Linked DNA regions of Yarrowia lipolytica. The protein of the gene in region 1 purifies or fractionates together with the protein of each later gene. This does not show direct contact. Links are inferred from orthologs where the notes say so. Each region holds a gene or a part of one and is shown on either strand. Other genes may lie near its edges. The genes, in order: YALI1_F08635g and YALI1_C30795g.

Region 1 (15,891 bases):
ACGGCTACACTATCCCTGAAAGCAAGAGCGAGCAGATTCATCAGCGGAACGCTCAGGTGAACGAGATTTCGCTCTTGTCTGGAATATCCAAGTACGTTGGTTTCCCTGCTGCGCCTGTGATTTCTCAGGCAACGGAGGACGAGACCAACGAGGATCTGACGGCTCTGGGGCTCCAGCGGCCTCCTGTTCCTCATGCAGCCTTCCCCGTGCCTCCGGGAATCATGCAACCTATGGGTGTGCAACCTGCGCCTCTTCAACAGGTGCCACAGCAACAGCCTCCGCCTCCACAGACTGCCCAGCAGCAGGTTCACCAGCAGACTCCACAGCAACAGCACCAACCTCCCCCACCACCTCCACAGCAGCAGCAGCAGCAGCAGCATCAGCATCAGCCCACGCCGCCTCCCATGGGTCAACACAGACTCAACGGACACGAGCAGCAACACATGCCTCTGCCACTAGGCGCGCCTCTCATGATGCAGCATCCCATGTACCATCAGGGACCGCCAATATACGGAGGGTACCAGTACCCTGCTGTGCCGTATTACCAGGGTGGCAATCTTCTGCCTCCGCCGCAGACCATGTACGGACATCCTCAGATGTATGGGCAGGTGTTGCCACCGCCGTATATGTATCAGAAGAGGGAGGAGGAGCACGAGTGACGAGGCGTCGCCCAATTGCTACTAGCTACAGCGCACAAGAGATCTCATTTGATCTTACTGTCGCGATGTTCCAATCAATGCTAAGAAAGGCATACTAATGTGGTTCAGGAGTGGTTCAAGAGTGGTTCAAGAGTGGTTCAAGACCATGTCTCATACTCACAGCAACAGTGCTACAGTCGTTTCTACAGTTAGACGGCAGACTCATAATTTATTGTAATATATGGTGTATTATATGGCAGCAAGCTGTACTGAAGCGAGAGCCACCAGTACGAATACCGTACGAGTACCGGTACTTGTAGCGTATAGCATTTATACTAACATCTCGAGATGCACCATATCAGCGATACCTCAGCATATTAGTAAGACAATACTTCGATATCATTATACCACTGTGATCTCCAGACTCGGCGTACGATTCACCAATTGGTTCATAGCAGGTTCACAGCACTCATAGGTTTCCTACATATCTGGCCTACATCCATCCTGTGAAAGGAGACATTCGTCTGGATACGATACGACAATTCTACAAGTTCGTGTACCGGTACAGTTGCCATCATTGCTCGCTCCGCTCACATGTTATAAATATCACATTCTAGTCTATATTACACACTCTATAGTGTTGAAAACAGAGTGGGGATGGGTTAGCACCAGTCGCTTACTGAGAAGCGGCAGACTGAAGAGCCTGCTCAACATCCTTGAGCAGATCCTCCTTGTCCTCGATTCCAACAGACAGTCGGACGAGGTTGTCAAAGACACCGGAGGCCTCTCGGGCCTTGACGTCGATGCCGGCGTGGGTCATGGCGGCGGGGACCTCGCACAGAGACTCAATGCCTCCCAGAGACTCGGCCAGAGTGAAGATCTTGGTGTTCTGGCAGAACTTGTTGGCAGACTCGGCTCCTCCCTTGATTCGGAAGGAGATCATGCCTCCGCCAAGACCGTTTCGGTGCTGTCGCTTTACAACCTCTCGTCGGGGGTTGGACTCGAGGCCAGGGTAGTTGACGGCCTCGACGAGAGGAGACTTCTCCAGGAACTCGGCAATGGCCTGGGCGTTGTTGGAGGCGGTTCCGACTCGGATGTGGAGAGTCTTGACACCTCGGTGGGCGAGCCACGAGTCGAAGGGAGAGGGAACAGCACCAATGGCGTTCTGCAGGAACCGCAGCTTCTCGTGGATGGCGTCGGAGTTGGTGGCAGCAACACCCATGACCACGTCGGAGTGGCCGTTGATGTACTTGGTGACAGAGTGGACCACAATGTCAGCGCCCAGAGTCAGGGGGTTCTGGACGTAAGGAGACATGAAGGTGTTGTCGACAACCAGGAAGACCTGCTCGTCGGCGGATCGGCCCTCGTTGGCCTGCTTGACGATGCCGGCGACCTTGGCAATGTCGGTGACGGTGAGGGTGGGGTTGGAAGGAGACTCGATCCAGACCAGACGGGTCTCGGGCCGGATCAGAGAGGCCAGCTCGTCCTCCACGGCGTTGGAGAAGGTGGTTTCGACTCCGTGAGCATTGGCCACCTTGGAGAAGTATCGGTGAGTGCCTCCGTACACGTCGCCAATGGACACCACGTGGGAGCCCTGAGCCAGAGACTGCAGAATGGTGGCTGTGGCAGCAGAGCCAGACGAGAACGCCAGGCCGTACTTGCCCTTCTCCAGAGCAGCAATGGCCTGCTCGAAGCCGTCACGGTTGGGGTTGGCCGATCGCGAGTACTCGTACTCGCCCACGGGCTTAGCGGCGGCGCTCTGGGCAAAGGTGGTGGACAGAGAGATGGCGGGGATGACAGCTCCGGTGGTCTTGTCGTGGGGGGCACCAGCGTGCACTGCGAGAGTTCCGAATCCAGACATTTTGTGCTTGTGTTTGTGTGAAAGGGTGAGAGGGAGAAAAGGGGGGTTGTTGAGGAGAAAGAGAAAGAGAAGAGAAAGAGACGATGGTTACACTGGCTCGCTGTGGTTATATGTATGCGGCAGAGTTCGAAAAAATTATAGTTTGGTTTGGTTTTTTTTTTTTTTTGGTTGGTTGGTTGGTTGTTTGTTGCACCTCCTTCCGTGTGCTTCGAATGTACCTCGTACAGTGGACGCGGCGTAACACAAAAAATGGCGCCATATCACGTGATCCAAAAGTCTCCCGACATGCCCGCGGCAATTCCACCCGAAATCCCAGTCTTTTAGATCTTTTAGACCGTCTTTCAATGCGTCTCGTGTCGACCACAGAATGGACGATTCTAGGAATCGAACCGTTGAACTTTGCGCAAGCCACAGTGCGACTGTGTTTGTGTGTGTTACCTCTGTGTGTGTGTGTGTGTGTGTGTTTGTGTGGCGTGGCGTGGCGTGGCATGGTGTGGTGAGTCTGTGGTTTGTGTCGCATGTCATGTGACCATCCCCACCGCATATATACTCCTGCTTGTCCCTTCCCCCTCCTCCTTGTCCCTTCCCCCTAGAAAAGTGTCTGCTGTATGCCGTGTGTCTTTTGGCCGGCTCGGTTTCGGTGACGCGGACTTGGCGGACAAAGCTGACCAACAACGAACCAAGTTTAACGAGGGCCAGACATCCGGGGCAACCATTGTGCAATGGGGCATATTGGCGAATATGGGGCGACAAAGACGGCTTATTGCGTGATTTGTCAGCATACTAGCCCACATATTTTGGTCTAGGGCCTGGTATGGGCACGTACTTGTACTTGTACTCGTACTCGTATCGTACCAGTCACCCTCCGGCCTATAACCGCTGATAGCCACTTTAGCCCTGCACTATTTTTTACGAACGCATCTTCTTCCAGATCGAAGAAAAGAAGAAAAAAAAAAAAAAAAAAGGACGCAAAAATCTACAACTAACGCAACATTTTTGTACTATAAGAGGTGGATATTATGATACCATTCAAACCAGCGCTGATTTTTGAGTCGAATGATGTAATAATATCCTCCTTTTGTCGTACAGATATCGTCTCAGAAGACGCTTCTCCGACCTCCTTCAGTGCATTATCAATTCAAGACATACCATATTAGGGGCAAGAGATGGCGATATGGTAGAGTAGAGTGAATACTACAAGTGGAGAATCCATTGGGGTCCGAGGGAGGGGACAAAAACGTTGCAAAAAGACCACAGATCTAGTAACACAAACAGAGCGCCCCAGACGTCGAGACATCACCAAACACCCAAACACCCTGTTCAGGTGACGTCATACTTTTCCCACATTGCCACATTCTTCTGGAACACGACAAGAAAGTTGGCACGGAAGGTGTCTGGTCACGTGATGGCACGAAGGATGGAGGGGCTGGTATTTGTTGATGTCACGTGTTCTTCTCCAACAGCACGTGACTTATGAGAAGGTAAGAGTGTGGGTAAAGAACGATACGATAGTACACGTATTTGTAGCACTTGCTCTTTGGTGAATTTTGTCAAGGCCTAAATGACAACTGCAAACACAGAGATATCACTCACAACCGCTATATCGGGCCAGTTGGGTTATTTTTTAAAAAAAAAACGTTTAAATTCACAGGAAGTTTCGAAAACCAATATTGGTATTTATTGTGATTTTATTCGAAATTTTGAAATTAACCAACTTGGCAGAAATGAAAGCTTTGTTCTGTCTGTCAAATCAACATCTACGCCTTCAGACTCATCTCGGCCTTCAGATGCCTCATCGCCAATTGTACACCATTGACCTCATCGCATACTGGTGCTAGGCCTTCCTGCATCATGCGGCATATCGATACCGCCTGAATCTTGCTGTGGGACAGAGAACCGTTGTCAATTGGCCAAGTAAGAAGGATGAAGACACGCGAGTTGGTTATTTGTGTTTGCACGGAGAAGTAGACCCCAATGAGTCCTTTTTCGACCCATATGACCCGCGTTTAACCCTTGTTTGAACATTGCTATCTGGCATATCAATCCGAGCTTATGGGCAAGAGGGTATTGCTACTTGTCCTGGAGTGAGACCGCAAGTGAGTGATAGAGAGAGAGAGAGAGAACGTCTTCTTCAATTCACTCTATTACATCAATCAAATCAATCAACATGGTCGAGTACACTTTTGAATGGCCGTATGGCGGCTCGGAGGTGGTTGTTTCTGGCACCTTTGACAACTGGTCCAAGTCCGTCAAGCTGGACAAGACCCCCAAGGGGTTTGCCAAAACCGTCAAGTTGCCCAAGGAGAAGACGGTGTACAAGTTCTACGTGGACGGAGTCTGGAAGGTCGATGACGGCGTTCCCACCGAGAAAGATCCCCAGGGGAATCTCAACAACGTGCTCATTTTTGCCGAGGGCGACCTGGACAATCACACCCAGAACATTCCCGGAGCTTTCCCCGGAGCAGCCGACGAAAAGGTCACCCATGATCTTAAACCGTCGCATCTGGACCCCAAGGCTGCCCATAAGCTGGACGAGACTCTGGAGACCAAGCGAGAGGCGGTAGCGGGAGGTCTGGTGGATCCGATTGCAGCCACAGACTCGTCTGTGCCCCAGGGACTTGTTTCTGGCCACCACAACAAGACCTCCAAGCACGCTGACCACGATCTCAAGCCGTCACATCTCTCCAACCGAGATGCTACCAAGTTGGAAGACACTCTCGAGGCCAAACACGAGGCTGTTCAGGGCGGCCTGGTGGACCCCCAGGATGCCTACGGACAGGGTCACGTGGACAAGAGTGGTTTGGCCCACAATGCTCCGCCTACTCTGGAGTCAATCCAACGGGACGAGAAGGCCGAATTCACCTCTGCCACCATTCCTGCCGCTTCCACCACCTCCCAGAATCAGCCCGTCACCCACGATCTGCTTCCCTCTCATCTGACCCACAAGCAGGCCGACAAGATTGAAAACGTGCTGGACGTGAAACAGCAGGCGGTGGACAACGGTCTGGTCGATCCCATTGATGCCACGGGTCAGTCACGAGCCGTTCCTTCTCGAGATGTGACTTCTTCTCAGACCTCCCATGCTCCTCCCTTGAGCAAGTTCCAGAATGACGAGAAGGACGAGTACACCACCGCCACCATTCCGGCAGCTTCCACCTCCCACAAGGAGCGCGTCACCCATGACCTGCGGCCCTCTCATCTGAGCCATGCTGCCGAGAACAAACTGGAGCATACTCTGGAAACCAAGAAGGAGGCTGTTTCGGGAGGTTCTGTGGTGCCCACTTATGCGGAAAACCCCATCCCCGCAGCCTCCACCACTTCCCAGAACCAGCCTAGACAACATGATCTGCAGCCCTCGCATCTTAGCAACAAGGCCTACGATAAGTTGAACTCTGCTGTCGAGCGAAAGCACGATATTATTGAGGACGGCAAGGTGTCTCCTGTCGATTCCCATGGTCATTCTCGAGCCGTTCCTTCCCAGCCATTGGCCAATTCCACCTCCAAGCATGGTACTCGTTCTTCTGGCACCTCTGGCGCTTCTTTGAACCCCTTCCAACAAGACGAAAAGAAGGAGTTCACCAGCGCCACGATCCCTGCCGCGTCCACCTCCCACAAGGAGCCCATCACCCACGATCTGCAGCCTTCTCATCTCAGCAGCAAGGCCGAACGGACTCTGGACGGCGTGCTCGAGACCAAGAAGGAGGCGGTTGAGGGCGGATCAGTTGTGCCCACCTACTCCGAGAACCCGATTCCCGCCGCGTCCACCACCTCCCAGAAGCAGCAGCGAACCCACGATCTACAGCCCTCCCATATCGGCAACAAGGCCGAGCACAAGCTGGACGACAATCTAGCCTTTAAGCAGAATGTCGTCAACTCCGGCAGAGTCGATCCTGACAAGTTGTAGGTTGATCAGCAAATATATGAATAGTAACGATGTGTATGTAGGGTTGTAATGGATGGATGAAGGTGTCCCCGATTTGAGAGCCGGCCCAGGGACGGTTCTAATCGCTGAAAGCCCTTTCCTGGTAGAACAGCTACAGTCGAGACAGTCAAGGCGCCAGTACAATTTCCGCCAAGTTTGACTAGATCAGCTGGAGAGTCTGTACTTGTCAGGACCCGTTTGTGAAGACCAGTGTACATACTTGACTCGAGGACCAGCAAGTGCTTTCGAAAGATGACTGACCTGATTGGAGTACTGTACTGTTTTTGTTGGTTAGCCAGATGCTTTTCAGCGGTCATTCTAGCAGCGCAACGACGCATACAGCTATCACTAGACAGTACATACGGCGGTAATACAGGTTCGGTATGTACGTTCTCAGAAGACGAGTTCACCAGGAAAAGGGCTTCTATTGCTGATTGATGTCGACGAGAGTATCAAAACTCGCACTGTGTTGGAAGTTGACCGTCTCGTAGACCGGCCGTGGACTCCATGGACTTGTGACTGGGCTGAGAACAGTTCCTTCATTTGATGGCTTAGTATACCCAATGAGCTGACTCAAGGCTACTTCTCATCTTTCTGTGGGTCTTTCTGTGAGTCTTTCTGTGAGTCTTTCTGAGCGGAAAAGTCTTGTTCCCATTCATAATGGTAAATCCGCTTGAGTAGATGGGTTTGGCCCTGTTCTCTACCCACTCCTCAAGAGAGTGTGAGCAACTCTTTAGGACTCTCTCCAACCGGATGGTTGGTGGGATTGAGACATTCACTCAAGGCTGGAAGGTGATTCACTCAAAGGGATCCACCATTCACATCCAATGGTGGCATGTTGGACGTGTGGTCAGCTGCGGAGGTCCATTCGATCAACGAGTACGCATCCTCGTGATCAGTTCCAGCACTGGAATTTCAACAACCGAACAGGCGAGACTGAGAGAGCTCCAGACACCGTTCGAGTTGAAAAGCGGTTCCAAATCGACGGAAAGAATTGGTGAGTCAGTGGGATTGGAGACGATTGTGAGGGTAGAACTGTGTCAGAAACCTATATTCTGCCACATCGGTCGCCAGTAGTTGATCAAAGCATGTATGTACTGTACTGTATGTACTATAATGATTGATCTCATCACTCGGACAGTCGCAAACTGACCACCAGTTATTTGTCCCGCATCTAGTGAATAGGTACTGTGCGGTGCGGTACGGTTGGTATCGTAGTTGGCCATTCGCTCTGTCCTCTACCAATGACTCCACAATGGACAGCAGTGGATAGTGGAGCAGTTGTAGGTCATTAGTGAGATCGGTAGACCGAGTGATCAGGTTCAAGGATTAGTGGACGTTCGGGTGTCTCGAAAAGTCCAACACAGTCAGAGTATTGCGAGTATGCTATGTACGGTACGTAGAGTATGTACATGCTCGTTTTCTGATTGCTATGTCTTGATGGGAATTGAATTAATTGAATAGATTGGAATATGCTGGAAAGGTGAAAAAGTTGAATTTGAATTTGAACAAATGGCACCAAACTGGATGACATTGACCCCCAAGTACTTGTACGAGTAGTTGAAAAAGGATGGGAAATGATTGAAATTGACGGGAAATCGAATCCAATGAATTCACTTTATATTTTTTCTAACTTCGGTTTGGTATTCCAAAAATCATGGAATTATTTAAAAAAATAAATACATTGACCTACACAACACGATCGCATCATACACACTCATACAACCAATAGAACATAAGATGTACATTTTTATTTTTGGACTCTGACAAGATTCTAGAGCGTTTAGTCGAACAGACCGAAGCCCATGTCGTCGTCGGACTCCTCCTTCTCCTCCTCCTTCTCCTCGGCGGCGGGAGCGTCGGAAGAGCCGGCGGCGGCACCACCAGCAGCAGCGGGGGCGGCACCTCCGGAAGGAACGGAAGCGAGCTTCTCGGTACCCTCGGCAACGAGCTCGTCAACAGACTTGCCCTCAAGGTCCTTGAGAAGGGCGGCGACTCGCTCGGAGTCAACCTCGATACCGACGGAAGAGATGACCTTCTCGATGTCGGCAGCGGAGGGAGAGGTGTTGCCAGCGGCGTTAAGCAGGAGGTAAGCGGCGAGGTACTTCACTGTGGTTAGTATGGAGGAGGTGATCGAGGTGAACGAGATGAGTCTTGGAACAGTCCAACAGTCATTAAACAGTCTTGGAACAGTCAGAACAGTTGTGGAACATTTCTCAATCAATCGTCAAACAGTCGTTAAACAATAAATCGAACTTCACCACCGGTCTTCGATCCTGTTTGCAATGACAGTACCACGAGGTAAGAATCGTCGCCAATTTGTCGTTGCTGTCGTGGTTGTCGTCGTCGCCAGACCTCTCTGGCTGCCGTACTCACTTGTAAATAATCAAATTTAAGCTGTTGGAAGCAGACTATTTCTTGTGAAGGAAAAATCTCAAAGATGTGGTTTTGAAAAAAGAGTGGGTCGGACAGAAAATAAGCTTTTTGAGTGGCTTGGTGTCCCGAAGTGGAAACCACGCCTCTCCCGTGCACAACCCTACTAACCCTAACTGAATCACGTGTTGGGAGTTCCAAAACGGAACCACTCACTCCTCCCAACCGAAAAGATTATCAACACTTTGAATAAGTCTTTTCCTACTCACATCAAACGACAAAAATGGCTGACGCTTCTGCTGGTACGTATGGACGATAAACGAGACCGGCGTATGGAGGACATGTCGAATTACGGTTGGTGCGACACGGCGCCCAGAGACATTGCGGTGGCATGACAGGGAGGATTGCACGGCGTGGCCCACGGCGTGGCTCCGTATGGGCGGTGTCACCTGCAACGGGAGCTGTGTGATGATGTGGCATGATAATTGTCATCCGCGACGTGGCATGAGGAATCTCAGCCGCGATACGACCTCTGTGATACACGACATAGCTATGTCACTCGCAATATGACCTCTGTGATCCACATGATCTGAAATGACACGCTTACGCCCAATTCCCCTGTTCCAACTAACACAGAATCCCGAAAGGCTCGAACCTTCAAGAAGTTCTCCTACCGAGGCGTTGACCTCAAGGATCTGCTCGAGATCTCCACCGACGAGTTCAAGGAGCTCGTTTCCGCCCGAGCCCGAAGACGGTTCAACCGAGGCCTCAACAAGAAGCCTACCATTCTCATCAACAAGCTGCGAAAGGCCAAGCTCGCCGCCGGCCCCAACGAGAAGCCCGCCGTGGTCAAGACCCACCTGCGAAACATGCTCATCTTCCCCGAGATGATTGGCTCTGTTGTTGGTGTCTACAACGGAAAGTCCTTCACCACCGTTGAGATCAAGCCCGAGATGATCGGCATGTACCTCGGTGAGTTCTCCATCACCTACACCCCCACCCGACACGGCCGACCCGGTGTCTCCAACTCCAAGTTCATTCCTCTGCGATAAGGGATTGCATGGTAATAAAAATATGTATTGTATGATTGACATACGCGAACACTGTGAACTGAGAGCCTCAGAGCCCTGAGAGCCTTGAGAGCCTTGAGAGCAAAGCTCGAAGGTGTTTCAAGTGCTCTCGGAGTGTGGGCTTATTGTAAATGTATTGGCTGACACGAGAGCAAAGCTCGAGTGGGTCGTTCTTGTACTTGTACTTGTACTTGTAGTTTTGATGTACCAGCTGATCTCTCGGTTGGGCCTTTTGTATTCGTATCTAGCTGAGTGTTTTATTCTATTTTTATTTCTTTTTATTTCTTTTCACTTTATTTATTTTATTTCTTTCATTTATTTTTTTCATTTTATTGAAAGTATAGTCCCACTTGGGCCGGATAAAATATCAAATTCACCATCCACCTGGAAACTCGCAAACTGACAAGTGAGATTCTCCAGTCCTTCCAGCCAACCACTTGACTCCTTGGAATATATATACACACTTGAAGACTTTATTTGTCAGCAATTTGGTCGATTCAGTGGCACCCTAGAGGAGAGTGTCTACAAGTACAGTATCCAAGTACATAGCGGTATCAACTTGTGGGTGGACTGAATGAGTCCATCTCGTTCAAGACAATGGCTCTCAAATTGACTGTGTCAAGACTGGTACGGACCTTGGGAATCACTTGTCTTCTTCGTCAATATACTCCTTAAAGCATCTCCATCCTCCGGCTTTCACTTCCCGTGACGAGAGTGGGCTCTCGCTTGTCCGGATGAGCCTTCTTGCCATTTCCATGCTTACGTACTGTACGTGTTGTAGATCTTTCGACGCCGGCTCATCAATTTCACGCAGATTGCCTCCAAATCAATATAGCTGTTGCCTCCTAACATGCCCAGCCCTCGATCATAGATGTCTGGCAAATTCCAAGAGACGAATGTACGCAGGTGAGAGAGGATATTGTAAAGGGGACGTCGTGGAGAAGAAGTCTTAGAGAGTCGCAGAGTGACAGTCGTAGAGCTGCCATACTACTACAAACAACGTCTCTTCATTGCTATCTACCTACGGTATCTAGATAATTAGATCGTACTTGGATCGGCAACAGGTTTTGGTTTCCAGTATTTCTCACAGTATTTCGGTTGTCTTGGTCGATGGGTTGAAGTCTGGTAATGTGGATACTGGCGATTCAGAGATTGGTAATGTCTCGAGTTACAGTCAGATGTCGGAATTCTGTAGACGAGTTGGTGTCTAGCGGTCCGACCCAGGCCACCCCATACACATTTTATAGTGGTCGGAACTCCATAATATAGCTCGGTTCGATGAGTAAAAGGTCAATCTTGAGTTGTCTTTTGAAATGCAGTGCGAAAAAGTGCTCACACCTGTTTTGATTGTACGTACTCATTCGGTTCATGTTCATGGTTACTCATTAAAACTATCTAGAGTCAGAAGACGTCCATTAAGGAGAACCGCCTAAATGGAGTTGATAGTCAGTATGTACTGTATATGAATAGTAGTTACCTCAGCTTTGGTCTCGGAATGGACCCTGTTTTCGCTACTTCTTTCAGATTCCCTGGTATTACTAAACTTGAACTACAGCCACAGCTGAACGCTCTAATGTCTTGCTATAGTTCTTTCAATGGAATTTAAAGTCCCATATTTTGATTAAATATAAAACCGAATTAACAATTCGCCCCAGTCTCAGCTACCGTAGTTGTACATTGGCTGTCCTTCGCCTCCGTTTCCACACGGTCTCTGCGCTAGCTGCTCATTACTTTTTCCCAAAACAAATGGGTCTCAGTTGAAAGGCCGAGTCTCGCTTCGAAAGCTACAATATTTACAGCCATACCAAACACTACTTGCACGATACTCCGACTCGTACTCGTACCGAAGACACCCTAATGTTGCTTGGCCGCCGATTGCCCTAAAAGACGGGCTCCGAAGTAGTCAGCTGTGTTGATTGGCCGTGGATTGGCACTCGAGTCATGATAGACGGCTGATTGGCGTTGATGGACCGTCCCAGCACTGTGATAGCCAGATGCTTGAGTTTGCACTTTGCACACTGCCATTACTGCAATCTTACAGTGGAGGACAACCCGTACGAGTACACGTACAAGAGTGAGCGGTCATGGCAAGCACATATTCCATGGCCTGATCAAAACATTGCTCACCACTGTTGAACGCTCACAAATGGCTCACCCCACGGTTGCTCCATCTAAGACGGTTCCAGCGGCCCGTTGTGCCGATAGACCTCAGTTTGGCTCCGTATGGTATCTTCCCTGCCCTTTTGGGCCGGGTGCAGAAATCAATAACCACATGGTCCTCGGTCTTTTCTTTTTCTTTCTCTGGATCGTGAAAACTAGAACCCGTTAGTGCTTGGAGGAGAGCTTTTTGGATGGAGAGATCATGTTTGGATACCCAAGTAGACGGTGTTTAGTACAGTAGACGAGTAGGCGAGTAGACGAGACGAGTAGATGAGTAGATGAGTAGACGAGTAGACGAGTAGGCGAGTAGACGAGTAGGCGAGTAGGCGAGTAGGCGAGTAGGCGCGCTCGTGATGAGAACCTCGCAACCCTCCAACAGCTCACTGTGAATCACGCTATCCTCAACTTTGGCCTTGGCATGCACTTCCTCCACCTCCAGATTGTGCCTGGTTCCTGGACTGGGGCCCTTGTGCCTGGTTCCTGTGGTGTGTGCGTACACTGGAATAGTCTGTTCCTTGTCTGCGAGTGATTTATTACTTTTTGCAAGACACAACTTTCAGCTGCAGCAGCCGGATCGTCGTCGAGCTAACTTTGGTGCATAGATAATGGGGGGATGTGGTTTTGAGGGGGGTGGCCAAAGCTGTGGAGAGCAGTAAAAGTGGTTGGAGAGGGGGCGGAGGTTTTTTGAGGTTGTGGAAGTATGTTTTTATCACTTTAAGCTCCCTTTCAGCGCCCTTTTAAAGCGTTTTGGCCCCGTTCGGCTGACGGTCACCTTCAATCTGAGCCATATCTACAGTACTTGCAACTCCAACTAAACAGAGTTACCCGTAATTGCACTGTAGTTAACCGTAAATCCCATAAAGTGAAAATAAAATCAACCTCTGAAGGATACGCTGAGCCTTAATGGCTCGTGCCGGTCAACGAGCTAGCAATCGACAGCAGGCGGCCAAAGAGCGGCCAAAGAGCGGCCAAAGAGCGGCCAAAGAGCGGCCATGAGAGACCAAAGACGCAAACACTCGACGCAAACAGACTCGACGCAAACAGACTCGACACAAACACAACCAACTGACTCACACTCAACCCAACTGACAAAGCAACCAACAAAGCAACTGACACATACAAGCAGGTACCGAACAGTGCCGACACAGAAGCAGGTACCGCAGCATCTACAGACACAAACACCTCAGACTCAGCACCACTCCACTTGTACCGCCAATCAAGTCGTTAGATGCAGCTGATCAAGGGGTACGGGCGTCTCACACGCCGGTGAAGCTTGCATGTGACCGAAGTGGGCTCTGGAGTACCTACAGTACTGTAGGGAGATCTGCACTGGAGTAGCTCGCCGAAAGACGCCAATCAGCTGTTCACCCGTCGACGAACAATCGCTTTGGCAGAGGGAGCTGCAGAGAACGGCGCCTGGTCTCGTCCTAGTCGGAGCGATTGTGGCGGTCCTTTCAATGAACGGCTGTCCCCGGCAGCCTACAAAACATAACTGTTCCAGTTCACGAGAGCATGAGTGTGGGATGTATATGAAAGTATCTTCATTTCAGGTGCTTGCCAGGTGCTTGTCCCGCCCTCATGCGTCTCCATAACCACAGCTACAAGCACTGCACCACTGACGGGTACGTACCCGCATCGATTTGGCCACTGATAAAAAGAAACGCAAAGTGGACAGATGGAAAGGTCTATTGGATTGAACGGTGCAATTGGTCGCAAACGTTAGTCGGGCGTTGAACTAATTCCAATGCACTTCGGATCGCTTGTTTTTTGTTTGTTTTTACATATGGCCTTACTCAGCGTCAGAACCATGGTCTCTACCGGAACAATGGCCTCTGCCAGAACAATGGTCTCTGTTTGCCACTCCGTATATCGCCAAAGCCCTCCCTCCACGTGCAAAGTGGGCTAACAATTGGCTCTCCACGGCTACTTTTCTTTTTCATCGACATTTATTACCGAAGATCCCGACGCTCAACTTAGTTTGGCCAACTGCCAGCCAAAACCCACCGTGGAACTGTTATTGTACTGGCAGGTACCTGTCAACTACCTGAACTTGTCTTTGGATACCTCACAATGATACCACAACACAATACACCACATTTCACACAGCATACCTTCGTGAAGCTGACCTCAGGGTACCACCGTGGTTGCCTGTACCCGGACTAGGCCGCCTCAGATCGCCGGAGCTATTCCTAATCCATTTTTATGCACTTTTTAGCTGCTTCTAGACGGAAGGCGATCGGCAAGGTACGCTGTATTAGGTTATTCTAGCTCTAGACGTTCGACAGAGGTGGTTGTGAAGGAATATCTCGAGTTTCTGGAGTTATATAAGGGTCACCTCCGTCCCGGTATTCTCACCAGACAAGTCCTCAGTCACACTCTTCACGCACCTTTCTACCCACCACAATGAAGTTCTCTACTGTTCTCCTTACTGCTGCTGTGGCTGCTGCTGAGCTCATCACTCTTGACTGGGCCGAGACCACCCAGGTCATCTCCATTCCCGACGCCACTGCCGGCGAGCAGGCCACCTCTGCCGTTCTGTCTGCCGCTTACGATGCCATCCATGACCACCTTGCTGCCCAGACCACCCCTGCCCCCGACGCTGAGAAGGCCGAGGAGGCTCTGGACCTCACCATCCAGGCCCCCTTCTTCACCATGGGTCTGTGGATCCCCGACCTGTCCGACTTTGGCATCGGCACCAAGAACGAGACCATCTCCGAGTGGCTGCACCGAATCTGGGAGGAGAAGCAGGGCGTGGCTTACCCCAACCGAAAGCGTGAGTTCACCCCCGAGGAGATCAACGAGATCCAGGAGGCCGCTGAGGGCATGGACCTGACTATCCAGGCTCCCTTCTTTACCATGGGTCTGATCATCTCTGACGCCGATGGCCACGAGTCCACTGTCTGGGTCACCGAGACTGTCTCTCCTGCTCCTTCCACCACCCCTGCTCCTGCTGCTGAGCCTTCTTCTTCCGCCCCCGCTTCTTCAACCGAGGCTCCCTCTACTTCTGAGGCTCCCGCTTCTACCTCCGAGCCTGCTTCTTCTTCTGCTGCTCCTTCTTCTGCTGCTCCTTCTTCCACTGAGGCTCCCTCTTCTACCGAGGCTCCCACTTCTTCTGCTGCTCCCACTTCTTCTGCTGCTCCCACCTCTTCCGCTCCTGCTTCTCAGGAGCGAGTTACCGTCACCGACACCATCGAGGAGCCCTGCCCCGAGTCTACCACCTCTCTGCCTCCCACCACCCTGGTTGTCACCACCAAGGAGTGCGACTGCCACGACGAGTAAGCAGTCTGCTAACATGTTCTAGGGTCTGGACCCGACTTTCACTTCTTATTTCTAGTTTTTATACCTTTTAATATTATTCACGATCATGAAACGAAGGCTGTAGGAGTACCGAGGGTCGCTGACAACTCAGCTACTGTGCTGTGCTTGTAGGTCAGTCTGTAGGTGACCACTGGAAGTGGTTGATCATCGTGATGGCCTCAAGCAGCTGAATGAGCCTTCTAGGCTACTCGTAGTTCACTCATGGGCCTCTTGGGGGTCAGTGAAGTGCCGGAGAAAAGCCCTCCTGTCTGCAAGTGTACAAGTACTTGTACAAACACACTTTTATCATACTCATTGTCCGATGATCAACATCGGAGTGTTCATTTACGACAGTTAGCATCATCTTGCTGTTAACTCTCAACTCTCTCAAACCCCCACGCTCAACTCAACCTCCAATGTAACGGTAGATCTCCCGAGGACAATCCCGGAGGTTTGTCGAAGATCATAGCAAGGAGATTCTAGAAGGTGGTCATGTGACTGCAGAGAGTACTTGTAGAATGGTATTTGATCGCTGCTTGTGAATTTGCTTCTTATCGCTTAGCTAGAGAG
Region 2 (17,514 bases), on another chromosome or scaffold:
ATCGGCTCGTTCAACGAGGAGGAGAGCCCCTCAAAGATCCGAGTGCCCAGCATTGGTATGACCGATTTCAGTGGTACTCGGCGACTTAGTCAGAGTTCTCTGGGCACCAATTCGGCCATGTCATCCACCACATCGCTCATTTCCTCACTCAAGCTTGCGCCACCGCCTCCACCGTCACGTGCGTCGTCCAAGGGGCCTCCCGTTCCTCCTCCGTCTAGAGGCAAGTCTCCGATGCCGCAAATATCACGGGTCAAGAGTCCAGCTCCTCCTCCGCCGCCGAGCAGGAATTCTCCTGCGCCGAAGAAGGACGTGAAGGAGTCTCGTGACAAGAAGGACAAGAAGGAGAAGCCGCGGCTGCCTCCCAGCAGAAAGAAACTGCTCGACATGAGTATCAGAAATACCAGCGTGGGAGATTTAAGTGTTGCCGAGCGGGAGTAGGAGATGGAGTTATTGGGTCAGAGCATGAGTATGACCAGGCAATCATCCTTGAGGGACGGTCATAGGTAGAGATAGAGGCTGGTCTTGTGATACTCTAGTTCCATGGTTCCATGGAGTCAGGGCTCGCATACCATTGAATCATCTCAGAGTCTTGTCACCGTTCATTTGGTAAGAGTCTTGACAATGGCAAGAGTACACAACACTGACAAGAGGGTCTATGTGAGGCAAGTAAAAGGAAATGGACCAGGAGGACATAACAGAGTCCAAATCAGCATCTATTTATACTACCACAATACTGTATATAGTTCAAAACACAATCCAACAATATTAGAGGAGTGAGTAGCTGTAGAACCGTCGCCAGGAAGGTTTCTGTTAGATCAATCAGAGTATGTACTACAAGTACTGTAGTATCTACGAGTAGCGGCGGCCAGTCTCTGGTCTGACTTCGATCTGGTGTCGCAAATGGAGGGCTAGGTAGTGTCACATTTCTGAGCCCTAAAGTGGTTGAAGAGACATGAGAAACACACCGATCGATAGCCCTCTGCGAGTTCAAAACGAATACATCATTTGCTTCAGAACTGATTGGTGAAAGGTCTCTGCTTACTGGAGCCCTGAAGAAACGCTGTAGAGCGGGAACAAAGGCGGTATTGTTTTCATGTCGATTATGGCCCCAGTTTGAGTGCCGCAATACCAAGGTCCGAGACATTGACCACCACCGAGGAGGTGGCTGGCATGTGGAGTGCGCTCTCATCGAGGGCGGCCCCGACACATGGAGATCTTCAATGTACCGACGCCAACGCCAAGTGGTATTAACCATTCTGGTTCTGTCAATGGCTCTCGGGAGAGGTTGAAACACTGTTGGGTTCGCCAAAGCTGAGATTGAAGATAACATCTTGCCGTTAGTAGGGACTAGTCGACCAGGGTTTAAGTCATCGTAGCAGTCACATTATGTAGGCAGTATATAACTGACAGTGACAGACTTGCCGACACCGTTGGCTGTGATTTCCGGTCTATCTCTCCAGCCTCCCAGGAATCAGTGTCGGTAGTCTTTGGTTCGGACGACTTGATGTCTCATTACCGGCGCTGGCTGATCCTCCGGTACCTCAATCAGAGAAAACCCGACCCACTCATCCCCCACTACAACGGCTTTGCGCTGATGGAATGAACTCATGGATCGGGAGCGCCATGTTCCATGCCCGCGGCCCGTGACCGGGAAACTTGACTACTTCTCGGCCGACAGACGAGACTTCAGAGAAAATACCGGCTTCATTCTTGCCTCAGAGAATCCCCCGTCTCATTCTTGCCTCAGTCTGTGTCAAGCTCTTCCTGGCTCGCGTTTCGTGTCTTTCCTTCATCGAATTCGACCCAGGACACAACATGAGGGTTAACGTAGTGGTCGGTGCAATTTGACCTCGTGTCACCTTCTGGGTCACTATGGGCCTGCAGCTGTGTGATGTCCCACCATGGAAGTTTCTCATCGACGCCCACTCGCTGTGGCACACTACTACCCTGATCCCCTGATTCCTGTAGTACGAGGAGCTGATGGCTGGAGACGGAGACGTTGCCATACGAGAGAGAAGTGCAAGGTCCTTGGTACCGTTAGGATTATCGAATTGGTACCATTGGGGTGGCCGAATTGGTCATGGAGTTCTTCCTCTCTTTAACTCCAAGAAAATGCTATGAATACATGAATTAGGCCTTTGTAGCCAGAGGGTACTTTCTAGGCCGATCTTGAGGACGTCTAACGGCGCCCTGGTATCGCCGGTCTCGACGTGTGGATCTTGATTTCGTGGTTCTTGGTGCTGCTTTCCCCACCGTGTTGGTCATTCGAGGAATGGGGTAGTCTGCCTCAAACTTGGAGTACGGTAGTCTATCGTGGACTCAACCTCGGCATCACTCTTGCTGTCACCATCCTTCTCCCCTTCGAGTTTCTGCTCTTCTTCGATCCCATAACCGTCCTTGTCGTCCACTACGACGATCCTCCATCCAGGCTCCAAATCCTCTTTAGTAGGAACTTTTGTGAGCAGCCTTTCCGGCATCGGAGTCCAAATCAGCTTGGATGGCGCTGCTTCAACTGCACATTGTTTTTGACTACCTTATCGATGGCCACTTCAAGCGAATAGCTGTCTCAGGGTTTCTGACCAGACGAGTGACTCAAGAGCAGAGACGTCATCTGGTGTTGTTAGTCTTGAGGAGCAGTGGGATAGCTATCGCACTGACCAGAGAGTGGCAGTCGGTCGGCTGTCGGGTGGCTGTCGAGTGGCCAGCTCGGTCGTTTCGACCTCAATACCTGACAGCCATCTTCTCCAGTACGAGATCTGTTTCAAGATGAAGGCGTAGTATACTGGCGGTTGAAGGCGATTTTGAGCTTGAGCGCGGGCAGATGGGACCTTCTCAGGGGGCTGCGGGTGTTGGTCGAGGAAGAGTGAGAGGAAGAGTGAGAGGAAGAGTGAGAGGTTAGGGATGGTTGAGTGAGAGTGAGAATGAGAGGTTGAGTGAGAGGAAGAGGTTGAGTCAGGATAAAGTGAGGGTATAAGACGGTATATATAGAACTGAATATGAACATTTGGGTTCGAATAATGGTTGAATAGTTGTTCAGTCGTATTAACTACGTTGAAATCTACAGGATTTTCTTTTTTTCTTTCTCGTCTCTTCATTTGGGGTCTTTTGTAGAGTGCTTTATATCTCTTTAGTTGACTTTAGTTCAAGGGTGAATGATTAGTTGGCTTTAGTTAGTGAATGAATTGAGGTAATAGTTAACGGTGACCACTGGAAACTAGTTAGTGAGATGGTGAAGTTGACAAGGATTTGGAGTCGACAGAAATGTCGGAATATACCGCCTTTCGACCACACTGACTTGTTTATTTTGTTATTTAGATTATTTTTGATATTTAGACGAATTAACTGTTGAATTTAGATTATTACAGATTAATTAGTTCAAACACTTCAGATTAAATCAAACAAAGACTTCAATTGCGTAGAATAAATAGAAAAAAATGAAAATCGAAAGAATAATTGCGAGTAACTATTAAACAGTGAATTGACAGCCCTACCCAGTCCCCAGAGCTATTAAAATACAACATATGGCTATAGCACGATAGTAATAAACTGAATAGTATGGATCATGCACTGGAGATACTAGAGATACCGCCTATCTGCTCCAAACTGCGGAAACTTGTAGTGACTAAAGCAGCAAAATAGTCACACTGTCATCATAAAACACACTTGATAGAGCCAGTCTATCTGCCTTTTAGAAACACCAAAAACAATCGAAAAAACATCCCGAAATAAATAAACCGACGTCCAGAATCTAATGATAATATCAATTCCTCTATATCTCCACTCCTCATCGAATTGACCAGGCCTCCATGGTCCGCGCCTGGATTGGAAACTTCTTCACGTGACCAACTCTAATTCATTTCCAGGCCGCATCGCTGGGGGTGCAGTTTTGGGGGGTCTTAAGACGGGGTTTTTTGATGAATTTTCGTCTCCATTTTTACCAGTTCATTAGTAAGCCAATTTGAACAGGAATTTCGAGTTTTGTTTTTGGAGATACTTGCTCTGAGTACTACATACTTGACATCTCAACTAAATACTGTAAATGCTTACAACACGATTTTATTGACCGAAAATATGAATAAAAATAAACAAATGACAGAAAAATTTCCAAAATCTTTTTGGGACTCGAGGAGAATGCTCCACAGCTGTAACATGTACAATTTGAGCTCCTATCGGACTTTTCCAAAGCTTTTTTATTGAATCTCTCAATCTACCCTTCATATGCTGCTTATGACTTATGAACAATCATCTGTTTCCAAAAAGTGAATGAACGTTCCCCAATGTTTACAAATCAATGCATGGACTGCTTAATAAACTCCATCAAGTTTGGTCTTACTAAACCTCTTCATTGCCGGACAGTTTCAGACTAAGTTGTATTCGGTAACATAATTTACCACGACAGCAAATGGAGTGTATCGTCAAACCCATATTACACCTAAAGACATATTTCTGTTAATTTTCTCTATATTGCAAAATTAAAATATCAGTGTATTCGCAGAGGCACACAATTGTAGTATTAGTATTGTTCAATTTTCATCCCTTGATAGACTCAATTCAACGCACTAAAGTCTGGTCATAACCTGCCCCAACCACATCCCCGTAATAAATAATCTGGATTTATCTCACCTTCCACTTTTTTCATCTCCAAACCCAAAATCTCGTAAAAACCTCAAATCCAAGCCACAAAAACAACCTAATTTTCTTTTAACAACTAAAATAAATCAAAATAAATAAATAAATCAAAAAGAGCGCAAAATCAAACAGACAAATTACACCACAAAAATGAGCACCCATTACCATTTAACTAACATATCTCATGTGGTCACGTGACTGCACGTGACCCCCAAGCCTCCACGAATATCCTCAACTTGCTCCCTATCAAAGGTGCAGCAACCTCCAAGGTCCCCAATTCGAAACCTTAAACCAACCACTCTTAATGAACCACTTATGCCATATAAGAGGTTGGTTCCTTGTACTGATTATTGGAAATACTCATTATTCAGCAATTTGGTACCATTCGCTCGATTCTTTTGATACACCGTTATGCTTGCAACATATTCGCCGTTCGCCGTTCGCCATTTTCCCAATGTCGATTGGGGGGGGGGGGGGGGCGGAAGTTCATAAACTGTGTGGGCCTGAAGGGGTTGCAAAGTCATAACCCTGTGGGCCCGCCAGGGCAGGGCTGTCGGTCAATAACCTGTCCTACCTTTGGGAGTTTGGGTCATAACCTGTTGGCCCGCCAGGGCAGGGCTGTGTCGGTCATAACCTGTCTACCTTTGGAAGTTGGTCATAACCTGTGGCCCGCCAGGGCAGGGCTGTCGGTCATAACCTGTCTACCTTTGGAAGTTGGTCATAACCTGTCGACTGCCCAACTCATAACCTGACAGCCGCCCATGCATCAACGTGCATACAGGAGGCGTTTTCCTTGGTCATAACCTTTGTTGGTCATAACCTGTGGCGTAAAAAAAGGAAACTTCATTTGCCCGTTACCGCTCATGCCCCATCCACCTGACCTTCGCAGTGATTTCTTTGATATCCCAGATGCAGATGCGATACCTGCTGTCGATTCGGATTCCAGAATGCGATACGTTGATTGCGATACCCTTACCCTATACCCTAACCTGTTGATATCAGGCAAGAGCTGAATTGTGCTGTTTAGAGGCAACTGCAGGAGGCGGTGCATGTGAAAGCGTTATCGTGGTTCGGGAATTGCGGTGGCAACACCAGGGCTTATTGATTTATGGCTTGTAAAGTATGGGTTATGGCTTAGTAAAGTATGGTTTAGTAATGTATGGCTTACTACTCCACGGCTTACTCATCTACGGTTGACTAACTCAGAGCCCTTTTCGCCATTGGTTGGAGTGATCCAATGGCGAAAAGGACTCTGCCCAGAATTCTTGGCGTTGCCACCAAACTTTTGGGTGTCCTTTTTTTGACTAGGAATGTGGAGAATGGAGTAGGTTTTGTTTGCTGGCAAAGTTGAAGGAAGTGGGATTATGATGTGTTTGTGGTTGTTTGAATTGTCTTGTTTTTGGGGTCATTTTGGAGGCAAAAATCGGCAGTATTTTTTGGTGTTTGTTTGGTCTTAATCTGATTTCTGGCTGTGTTTTTGTGGCCGATTCGAGATTTCGATTAGATTTTATCATCTTTTTGTATCGTCGTATTAGCCACGTTTGATTTTGTTGCTGAACTCTGATTGTGGGGCGGCGGCGCGCAAAGGGGAAAGCGGTTTTGTCGGTTTTTAGGCTGCGAAACCGAAGGGAAACAGGGCGTTCGCGGTACCGTTGGAGTCACGTGATTTTTGCCTCTTTGCTGGGCGTTCGAATGGTTTTTTTTGGGCGGAATCCGGACATTTTGGGGTCGGTTCTTTTTGGGCGATTTTTTTATTATTTTTGAGACTATTTTGCCATTGGTCTGAAAAGTTTAATTCAATCAAGAAAACGATAAAGAAACCCAAAATGACAGAATGCAAAAGTGCAATACAAGAAATCATATGACGGCAACCCGAGCAGCGATAATCCCTACAAGTATATATAGGGCGGTGGTATGGTCCTTTTGACATCTTCACAGACAATCATCGACAGAGACTCAATTACCCGAGACTCAATCACCACCAGACCCATCTAACCAGTCGCTCAAGAAAAACTCCGCCGGACGTTTTTTTTTAATCCACCCGAACAATCTCACCAACTACCAAAATGGCCTGCTCTACCAACTGCCACTGCACCAAGCCCTGCACCAACTGTGCCTGCGACACCAAGTCGTGCTCCTGCGGACCTTGCAAGTGCGAGTCTTGCCAGTGCACCAAGGCTTGCGAGTGCGAGAAGAACCCCGATTGCAAGTGTGAGACCTGCAAGTGCGAGGGAGCTTGCAAGTGCTAAGCCCACTGATTTATTCAATTGATTTTCCGTTGAGAAGTACTGTATTTGTAGAGTAGTTTTCTCCGAATAAAAGCACAATTAGAAAATGAAGAAGAAAAAAGTAGGGGAAAAAAAACACATAAAAACTGAGTCGAGGGTGATTCTTGCAAACGCAGGTAGGCTCGCAAGTGTTGAATTTTCGACAGATTTTATTCAGATTCTTGCGTAGAAAAATGCTCACAGATGTATCGTGAATCTCCTAATAAATAAAATATAAATGTCGATTGGAAAATCTTATAATTTTAAAAGAGGTTTGTTTTTTTTTCTTTTTTTTTTTCTTAATTACTGAAAGAGAACTGATACATCTGAGAACTCTGGAGCTGAAAATTCCAGAATATTGAAAATTGCTAAACAACTGACACTCTTACATATACATTGATGGTTGGGTTGGGTTGTTGAATTTTCTGAATCATCATCCATTCCTCACAATTTGTATTTCTTTTAATTTTAAGTATTATTTAAAATCGAATTCCCCAACTATTCTTTGATTAATGTATCGCCACATCTAGAAAAAAATGGAAGTATATCTAGACAATATCTCCAGCCCCAATGATTTTTAGATCAAGTGATACCCCCACTCATCTATATACCTCACTTGACATGTTTACCGTTCCATGTGACAATTTTTCTGATTTTCCGATTTTTTCCTATATTGAAATTCAAATTACATTTATTAATTCCCCAAATAACCTTTGATCGTGCATAACCTCTTTTTTTTAAAAAATTCTACATCACTTATTTTCTGTGCACACCAACGCATCTAGAAGGACAACAACATGGACTGGGAACGCGAAATTTCGAGCGGAGCATCTTCGACACTGCTGCCCTCGACAGATCCCGATTACAAGGAGCTTGACGGGGTCACTGTCGATTATGAGGACCTTATTGACGAGGACGAAGAGGAGGAAGACGAAATCGTGGAGGACGACTACGAAGAGGAAATCACCTCGGGAAATGTGACTAAGCGGTACAACAAGCAGAAGAAGGTGGTTGCAAGCGTTTTAGGCGAAAAACCGGCACAACAGACCGCTGACAGCGACCTCAGCAAGTACACGGGCCGATTACGTATGGACGACGACTATCTTGATTCACTGACTCATCAGGGGCTTGCTGCACGTGATGGGCAGGTGAAGGGCAAGAAAAAGTCGTCTGGAGGTGGATCTCAGACAGGTGGCAATTCTGCTCTCATGGGGACCGCCACCAAAGACCGGGCTGATCGAGCCACTAATGAGCAGGTTCTGGATCCCCGGACCCGAATGATTCTGTTCAAAATGATCAACCGAGGAATTATTTTCGAGGTCAACGGGTGCGTTTCCACCGGCAAAGAAGCCAACGTGTACCATGCGTGCACCGAGGAGGGCGTTCATCGTGCCATCAAGATCTACAAGACGTCAATTCTGGTGTTCAAGGACCGAGATCGATATGTGAGTGGAGAATACCGGTTCAGACATGGCTATTCGCGCCACAATCCGCGCAAAATGGTCAAGGTATGGGCTGAAAAGGAAATCCGAAACCTCAAGAGATTGCATACCGCCGGAATCCCGTGTCCGGAACCTCTTCATTTACATCTTCATGTTCTGGTGATGGGGTTTCTGGGCGACAAAAAGGGATGGCCCAGTCCCCGGTTGCGAGATGCCAAAATCTCCGAGCTCTTTGCCAACCCTGCCGAGGAATACACTGCTCTGTATCATCAGTTGTGTGCGTACATGCGAATCATGTATCAGAAGTGTCGGCTAGTCCACGCCGATTTGTCTGAGTACAACATTCTGTACCATGAGCGCAAGTTGTACATTATCGACGTTTCGCAGTCGGTTGAACACGATCATCCTCATTCTCTGGAGTTTCTGAGAATGGATATCAAGAATTGCAATGATTATTTCCGGAAACATGGAGTCAGCGTGTTTCCCGAGAGAACACTCTTCCATCTCATTACCAGCCCGTTTCTGGAAGACATCAAAATCACCGACGAGATCTCCGTTAGTTCCCGGGAGTTGGTGGAGGTGGATGAAAAGGATGGTGAAAAGGGCGACAAAACGACTGGAGACAAGAGTGACGATAAGGCTGAAGATGATAAGAGTGAAGACAAGGGCGAAGACAAGGATGAACACAAGGATGACAAAGTTTCCGTAATCGATGACTCCACTACTGTCTGTGACACTTCTGCTACCATGTCTGGCCCTGCAGAGGCGAAAAAACGAATGGAGGAAACAGTCGACTCGCTCACCGCATATATCCAAGCGATGCCCATTGAAGAGTCCACGGACCAAATAGAGGCCGATGACGCCGTGTTCCGGTCGGTCTACATTCCCCAGAACCTCGACCAGGTCTATGACGTCGAGCGAGACGTGGAAATGGTCAATGCCGGCCAGGGCAAGGATCTCATCTACTCGTCGCTCATTGGCAAGAAGGACGAGGAAGAAGACCAAGAGATGGGCTCGGAAAGCGAGTCTGACAACGAGAGCATTTCGTCGATTGACTCGGAGGAGCGCGAACGGCGGTTCCAGGAGAAAAAGGCCCTGACCTCGAAACTGGGCAAGAAGTTTGAAGACAAGGATGCTAAAAAGGAGCGAAAGGCGGCAGTCAAGGAGGCTCAGAAGGAGAAGCGCAAGGAGAAGATGAAGAAGGCCACCAAGAAGAAGCTGATTTCCAAGTCCAAGGGTAAACATTAATTGGCGTTGTAGTGGTGACGAGTTGTCGCTGGAGATGTGCAACGACCTTGTCGACGGCAATTCGATACCGGCGCCTTCTTGAGTCTGAACATGCTGGATCTGTTGACTGTACTTTACTCCTACACCCAGTACCCAACCTATAGATTATGTATTGTTAAAATCCAGAAATGATAGACGAAAAGAGAAACTCTGCCCGGTAGACGTTAGTTTCAGCCTTCTTAAGAAGTTTTCACGACCTCTTCACGTGATGATACAGTGTTATTTTCAATCCGTTCTCACTTGGTCCAAATGATGGGAACTCATTTCAATACTGTACAATTACTGTACAAATACTTAACCAATCAACAAAATTACTTGGACTATCTGAGAAAAATGTTGTTTGATGCAAAAAAAAAATAGTACTACCAAAAACATAAAAATTATATGAATATATCTATCCGATTTTTGCACTTTGGTTATATAAGCGGGCAAACCATCTACTGGAATATACCACCAAAGGCGACTGGTTCGAGGAGAAGCAAAAAGTCTCTAGTATGCAAAAACATATTTTTTTTTCTATTTTTTTTGTATTTTTTTTATTTTATAGTATTTTTTTATTTTATAGTATTTTTTTTATTTTACAGTATTCATTTATTTTATACTATTCTTTATTTTATCGTATTTGTTTTATATAGTATATGTTACAAAAAATGAGAAAAGTACGATTGTTTCGATATAGTCAACATAACCACTTACAACTCACTTCCCCACGTAGCACGCGCTAGAAGAGTGCTTACTCATTCACCAGAGAGAGATTCTAGATGAGCAGATATACCACCAGACACGCCACCGGATACACCATCAGATAAATCATCAGATACACCATCTACAGGAACAACTTCTTTACAACCAGCTGGTTCCTCTCATGATCATGTGGGGAATTGGCGGGTATTACTTAAAAAAGTGCCCAAAACGCCAGGAGCACGAGTGCCACGCGCAAACATAGGAACATTCAATTTTAGGGTCATATCAGGAGATATTGACCTCGGGTTCTCATTGTCTTGATCGGACTCTGGAGGATGTCACGCGCATCTAGTCGCGAATAGTCGTCACGAGACACCACAGATAACGCCACCCACGCTGTGCTAGAGACGTTTGAAGTGGGTAAACGTGTTTGATGTGCAGGATCTCACACAAGCCGCCCTATTGGAGGAGCATATCAGAGACATTGGTAATGACACACGTTTACCAGAGATGTGGTTCGTCAATGCCCAGAGCTTCTTTGAATCGCATGAGCTCCTTTCGGAGTACTTGAAAGTAGAGTCGCCCTCTGGACCACGACTATCCAGAACGCTTCGAGCGGCCTGAAATGACGATTGCAGGCAGCGGTAGAGTGGTTTGCGGTCGTCACAGTCCGAGAGGGCAGCGGAAGACGGAGCCGAGGGCTCCATGACCGGGCCCAGACAGTGGAGCTTCCAAGCACTGCTGCTGGGCATAATAATAGACTCCACTTTGGCGAGAAATTCAAGACGAAATAATAGCCCCTTCTGCAAGGCTAATCGGAGGTAGAGTTCCAAGGAAGAGAAGAAACGGGACGATAAAATGGGTTTTCCTCGAGATGGAAAGTTAGGGGGTGGTTTGAAGACATCTCGTGTCTGTGGCGAGTCTCCTGGACGCATTTTTTCCGTTTTCCCGCCATATTTGCACCGGTCAGACCAGTTTCAAACACCGATCTGGGGATCTTATCAGAGTTGTCACAGATTATAGCAACTTCGGCAAATGTATAGATGTAGGGTTGACAAGGTGGATTCGTGGGCCGCAATCCGTGCTGGGTGAGCTCTTTAGACAAGGGGGCTGTTTCGGCTGTTCCAGATGTCAAAGATACACACTTTTGAAGCGTGTGCCCCCCAGGGGTTTGGCGAGGTTTGAACTGGCGGTCTTGGTAGGTGTCAACTAAAGCTAAGTAAAGCTAAGTAAATCTGCGGGCGGGTGGGAATATGAGAATGGGCCCTGGATGACGAAGCCCCTTCAAACATCCCTTATCGCTGTTAGCGATCAGTTGGAGGATGGTTAATGAATCGACCATGGTGATAAAGAACTTGTCGACAACTGGATTTCAGCAGTAACAGTTCAACTATCTTGTACGTCTGACTTCAGAGCAAAACAGAAACCCGTTATCCTGACGTCAATTCCGACGCCAATTCCGACGCCAATTCCGACGCCAATTCCAAGACTCCTTAGTATGCTCGAATGTAGAGTAATTTTGGCCGCTCAGAAATCGACAATTGGGCTAGTCCTTTGGTTTTTCCCACAAGCCCTCTCCTATACTCCCCGTCGTCCATCTGTCTCCATCCACTCTCCGCAGCCCATCTGTCTCCGTCTCTCTCCTTATCCATCGACCTACCAATGGCACGCCGACAATACCACTCATTGGTGCATGCTAGAATACCTCGATAGCCGCAGATTTGTTATGATAGCACTTGTTCAAACCAGACTAGCATTTAGCACGGATGATGTGGGGTGAGAGGTGGAGACATGTTGGGAGCCTTGGACAGGGAAAACGGAACTTCAAAAGCTGCCAACAGTTGCAAATCACCCTTTAAACCGGGTTTACTTGGCCTCTATCAACTCTCCGACTTCCTCCATGTTCCCCATGTGTCTCTACATCCGGACTTTATGTCCCCCTCCATCCCCCACCCACCCCACTACCCCTCGGGTCTAGACCTACCCCTCAACCTGAAGACGGTCGATCCAGCTATAAAGAGTTGGCCAGCAGATGTTCGCATGGCAAGTGGACCAGCAAACGCCTCCTTTGCCAGAGATGACGCAAATCGAGACCAACCGCGAAGAAAAGGCGGAGCTCGGCCATGAGACAGGGTCCAGTGACTCTCCTCAGTTCAGCCCTCAGGTTGAAGAGATCAACCAGATGGATCTCCAGGTGGATCCCCAGATAATTCCCCAGATGGACGAATTCCCCCCTCCGCCGTCGCAAGAGGAAATCAACGACAGAATCAAACAACTGGCCATCAAACATAACGTCAACCATCGCAAACTCATGTTGAAAATCGACATCTGCGTCGTTCCCCTGACTTGTCTACTCTATGTCCTGGCGTTTCTGGACCGAGTCAACGTTTCCAATGCCAATGTTTATGGCATGTCCGAGGATCTGAATATGACCGGCAACAAGTTCAACACCGCTCTGGCCATCTTCTTTGTGCCCTACGTCATTGCCGAGATTCCTTCCAATTGGCTCATGAAGAAGTTCAAGCCCCATGTCTGGTTGACGGGGTGTATGACTCTGTTTGGAGTCTGTCTCCTGGGTCAGGGGTTTGTTCGAACCTACGGACAACTGCTGGCCACCCGATTTCTGCTCGGGCTGTTCGAAGCAGGCATGTTTCCGGGCTGCTTCTACCTGCTGTCCATGTGGTATCGCCGAGAGGAGGCCCAGAAACGATACTCCTTCTTCTTCTCGTCCACCACCCTGGCCGGAGCGTTCGGTGGCCTCATTGCCGCTGGTATCCACAACCTGGACCACGACAGAGGCATTCGATCGTGGCAATGGATCTTTATCATCGAAGGAGCGTGCACAGCTACCATTGGAATTCTCATGATTTTTTGCCTGGCGGACTTCCCCGAGGAGGCGCGGTTTCTCAAACAGAACGAACGGGACTTCATCAAGGAGAAACTGGAGATTGGAAACGCCGGAGTGTCGGAATACGAACGTTCCATGACTCGCAAAGACCTGGCGTTTGTCTTCTCCGACTGGAAGGTCTGGATCTCCGGACTCCTGTACTTTGGATACATTGTTCCGGCCTATGGATACGCCTACTTTGGCACCGCCATCGTCAAGGGTTTGGGATACTCGCCGGTCATGACCCAACTGTACTCGGTGCCGCCCTGGGTGGCGGGATTTGGCTTCTCCATGGTGTCGGCGGCGTTTTCCGACCACTTTCGACACCGGTTTGCGTTTGCCTTCTTTGCGGGAATCGTCGCGGTGGCGGGATTTGGACTTCTCATGGGACAAACAAAACATATCGGCATCCGATACGGCTCGCTGTTCATGATATGCGCAGGAACATACACGGCCATGCCAATTCTGGTGTGCTGGACTCAAATGAACTTCTCGGGACACCACCGAAAGGCCATTGCGTCGGGCTGGCAGATTGGTTTCGGAAACACGGCGGGGTTCATTTCGACGTTTATCTTCGAGGCAAACGAGGCGCCCACCTATCCAACCGCGCTCGACGTGTGTCTGGCCTTTACCGCCTTTTCCACCGTGCTCCTCGCGGTCTATTTTGCCGCCATCTGGGCTGACAACAGGTACAAGCGAACGGAAAAGTACCGTCAAAAGTTCCGATCGTGGCCCAAGGAGAAACAGCAGTTGGCCGGAGAACTTCATCCTAGTATTTTCTATAGTTATTAGGGAGTGACGGTACATCAAGGTCAATTGCTTGACTAACGGTGGATTGTCTAGGTAGACTGATTCGAACGTCGATGTACACTCGACTGACTACCCCACCACCTCTGAAGACTCCACCGACGACCCCACCGCCTCTGAAGACTCTACCGACGACTCCACTCCTCCTGAAGACTCAAGGAAACTTGACAAGTCTTCAGGACTGGTGAAATCTGTTCGCTGTAGTCGTCAGTGTCAACTACTTGTACAAGTATTTACTGTACTGTTAGCATAAGTGTCTTGTCAGAGCTGGTATCAAGACATCGTCAACTGAACAAACATAGCACGTATCAAAAAGCCTTTGGAATAGGTATCGAAAGTTGTCTTCATACTGAGGGACAACTTCACTCAGCTGTTTTGGTCAACCTGCTGGCGTGCTGGTCCCCAACTAGTCCCAACTAAATACTAACTAAAGAGTAAGTAAACCCCTGAAGACGGTTTAACTACCAAACACGACGAATATCCACGAATATCCACCTCACACACCATGTCGACATCATCGTCATCGTACTCAGCAATACAACCCCGCCACAACTCCTCTCCTTCCTCGTCTTATGACTAAGCCAATATACAAAAACGTTGAACTTCTGACATAACCCGAGCCCAAACATCTCAACAAACACCAGTTGTATCCGAAAGGAGTGTCTTTGAATCAAAAGTATAGAACAACAGTTGCCGTATATTTCAGACAATCAAAAGTCGCAATGGCCCCTAAAAGTGCCCTTCTCTTCACGTCGACCCTACCCACAACTGTAGAGGGAACCTCAACTTTCAATCTGCAAATCAACTCACATATACCATGGCTATATGAAGCGTTGAAACATCCAGCTCCAGTAGACGCCTTAACCTGCCCACCTCACACCCTACATGGACCCACCAGACCGGTTTGCTCCGCCAATAACACCAGCCATCTCCAGAAACGCTCGATCTTCTGCAATGTTGTTTTTGTTGATGGTCCGTCTGTAACTTGCTTCTCGCTCCTCCCACTCGATTCGCTTTCGTTGGTGCTCGAGGTCCGTGTCGTTTCCAACACCCCACACCTCCACATTTCGCACCTTGAACCGTTCGTCCATCAGCTCTCCAGGTCGATTGATGGAAGGCGCGTACGAGCCGCCCTTGCCAGCATGGTGGAACTTGCCAAACTCCAGGGAATCGTCTAGCGTGAGAGACACGGTTCCTACCACTTGAGGTGCCTGCACTCCGGTGAACCGACCAATGGACTTGGGGATAGGAGAACCAAAGGCCAGTCCTCCAGGGTCGTGCTTGAGAAAGTAAGCGTGGTTGGACGGGTTGGTTTCACCCACAAAAATATCCTGCGTGGGGGCTAGCTGGAAAATAAAACATTTGGAAGATCCAAACGTCTCCTTTGAAGACGATCTCCAGGGAACGTCGAGATAGAATCCGAATTTCACCTCGCTCTCACCATCATCGGGAACAACAGCTCCCTTGAGCCGAGGGTACTTTTCATCAAAGGTATTTGCTCGTTTAAGAGACTGGTTGTTTGTGTTGAGCCGCAATCCAGACACTAGCAGCACCGAAGGGGCTCTCCAGCCAAAAGTTCCGGATTCAAAAGACCGCTGTGCAAAACCATCCTTCTGGCCCATGTACAACGTCTTCAGGTTTTCCACGTTGCCGAGGAAGGGGCAGAAAGACGCCATTTGGGCCACCGTGGCATGGTTCAGCAGCTTGGTTGGATAGGTGCTGTTGGAACCCAGAGGATTGAGCGGAGCAACTGGTTCGTTATCTTCCTTCTCCGAGTGAGCCGATGTGTAGAGAAGCAGGTCGAAAAGATGACCTACCGGAGCCAGTAGATGGGGACACACCTTGTCAAAGGCATGTCTGAATTGAACAAGATCAATGTCGCCATTACATGCTCGGGAGATGCACTGGGCGGACTTTCGACAATCGGCATACAGCGTCTTTGTGTCTGTCTTGTCCTGGCTCACGACCGTCTTGATGTGTTTTGCGACGGTTCCCTTGGACGGATCGAAGCCGTAGAGGACGAGCATGAAGGTGAGAAAGTCGACGAACTCGTCGCGGGGGAACTTTAGCTCGCTGACGTCGGTGGCGTAGAACTGCTTGACCGGCCCAAACGACTTCCAGTCGCCGTCAAACTCCAGATTGGGCTCCTCCGACAGAGTCACCTCCTTGGCCACGTCGCACTGCTTCAGCAGCGACACAAACAGCAGCTTGAGCGGATCAAACTCCTTGAACACCTGCGTGTATCGGCCCGAGTAGAAGACGATGATCTTGAGCAGGTCGTTGAACGAGTACCCCGCCTCTCGAGGCTTCGTGTCCATGAACGGAAAGTTGGCGAGGAACTTGGCCGAGTTGGTGAGCAGCTTTTCGACCGACTTGAACTCGGACGGAATCCCCAGCAGAGCCGCAAACTCCTCGTCGGTCATGCGCACGTGGTCGCCGTGGTCTTGGTGTAATACCGTCGCCTTGAAGTTGTCCTTCAGCCCATACAGCTCAATTGGTTCCAGCGTCTTGTAGCATTGCTGTGCAAACAGCTGACTCACTTGGTCCTCCGACAGATGTTGCGGAGCTGAAGTGCCTTGTCCCATGGTGTTTGTGTAAAAGAAGAGTGCAGAGCGGAGATGATGATGCGTAAATGTTGGACTTGCCGCCTGATAGATGGATAAAGTTCGGATACGGACCAGAGAGGAGAAATGGGATGGGCCTCGAAACGGGGTTCACGTGACCTAGAGGGGAAATTGAAAAACATCTACGGCATTCTGGAGGCCACGTGACCCTATTCTCGGCTTTGCTTTGTCCAATTTCTGTCTTTATCGGCCATTCATATGGACCTTTTGTTTCCCCAAATATATACGCTTGCTGTTAGTCTGCCCAGGTGCGGCATCTCCAAAGGTTAATTTGGGCGGTTAAGTTGGCGGTTAAATTGAGTTGAATTTAACAACAATATTTTAATAATAATAACAACAATAATGAACGTAGAAATATTATTTTTTTATGTTGATATTTGGAGTATTTCAACATTGATTTGTTATTTATATTTATATTCCATTTTTAAAAGGTTTTATAGTTATTTTTGATAAAAAAAAATAATTATTTTTATAGTCCGATTTCCAGCAACTATCCTGACACTCGTGCTGACTAATCATAGTGTCAATGTGATGTGATACAAGTACTAATCAACAGGAGCGCAAACAGGAGCGCAAACAGGAGCGCAAACAATTCCCGAGTTGCAATGACGCCTAGAAGAGGCTCCTTGAATGATGATGAACTTGTCAGGCTTCTCCCCCATCAATTTCTGCCCAATTTTTTTTCTTCTAATATTACCAGCTGGATTACTACGAAACCAGAACTGCAGACAAGATCCATAAGCCCTTGGTCACAGGGACATGGCAATGGAATGATAACTTGATTAGCAAGCAGACCATTGTCAATTCAATTCGATTTTCAACTTCTGTCCCTTCTCCATAGCCAAACAATTGCTGCAGAGCATCTCTGACCAAGGCCAAGCAGAATA

What was found.
Region 2: the proteins of YALI1_F08635g (region 1) and YALI1_C30795g purify together in Saccharomyces cerevisiae (affinity purification with mass spectrometry; 3 studies listed by BioGRID). This does not show direct contact. The link is inferred for Yarrowia lipolytica from reciprocal best matches to the Saccharomyces cerevisiae genes RPS15 and RIO1.

What each region holds. Positions count from the first base shown.
Region 1 is NC_090775.1:857,125-873,015, reverse strand, and holds YALI1_F08635g (uncharacterized protein), read left to right. Parts: upstream 1-9,102; coding exon 9,103-9,148; intron 9,149-9,430; coding exon 9,431-9,846; downstream 9,847-15,891. Other genes in the region: YALI1_F08745g (uncharacterized protein), read left to right, coding at 1-659; YALI1_F08705g (uncharacterized protein), read right to left, coding at 1,315-2,499; YALI1_F08683g (uncharacterized protein), read left to right, coding at 4,667-6,403; YALI1_F08650g (uncharacterized protein), read right to left, coding at 7,713-7,955; YALI1_F08603g (uncharacterized protein), read right to left, coding at 12,254-12,543, 12,615-12,624; YALI1_F08597g (uncharacterized protein), read left to right, coding at 13,017-13,247, 13,314-13,616; YALI1_F08590g (uncharacterized protein), read left to right, coding at 13,769-13,921, 14,002-14,187; YALI1_F08585g (uncharacterized protein), read left to right, coding at 14,428-15,303. UniProt on the Saccharomyces cerevisiae protein: Component of the ribosome, a large ribonucleoprotein complex responsible for the synthesis of proteins in the cell.
Region 2 is NC_090772.1:3,069,731-3,087,244, reverse strand, and holds YALI1_C30795g (uncharacterized protein), read left to right. Parts: upstream 1-7,693; coding exon 7,694-9,586; downstream 9,587-17,514. Other genes in the region: YALI1_C30884g (uncharacterized protein), read left to right, coding at 1-438; YALI1_C30859g (uncharacterized protein), read right to left, coding at 707-1,330; YALI1_C30760g (uncharacterized protein), read right to left, coding at 10,711-11,244; YALI1_C30749g (uncharacterized protein), read left to right, coding at 12,342-13,988; YALI1_C30726g (uncharacterized protein), read right to left, coding at 14,076-14,201, 14,284-14,368, 14,466-14,632; YALI1_C30706g (uncharacterized protein), read right to left, coding at 14,885-16,588. UniProt on the Saccharomyces cerevisiae protein: Required for the final endonucleolytic cleavage at site D converting 20S pre-rRNA into the mature 18S rRNA. Required for the final steps of cytoplasmic maturation of the 40S ribosomal subunit.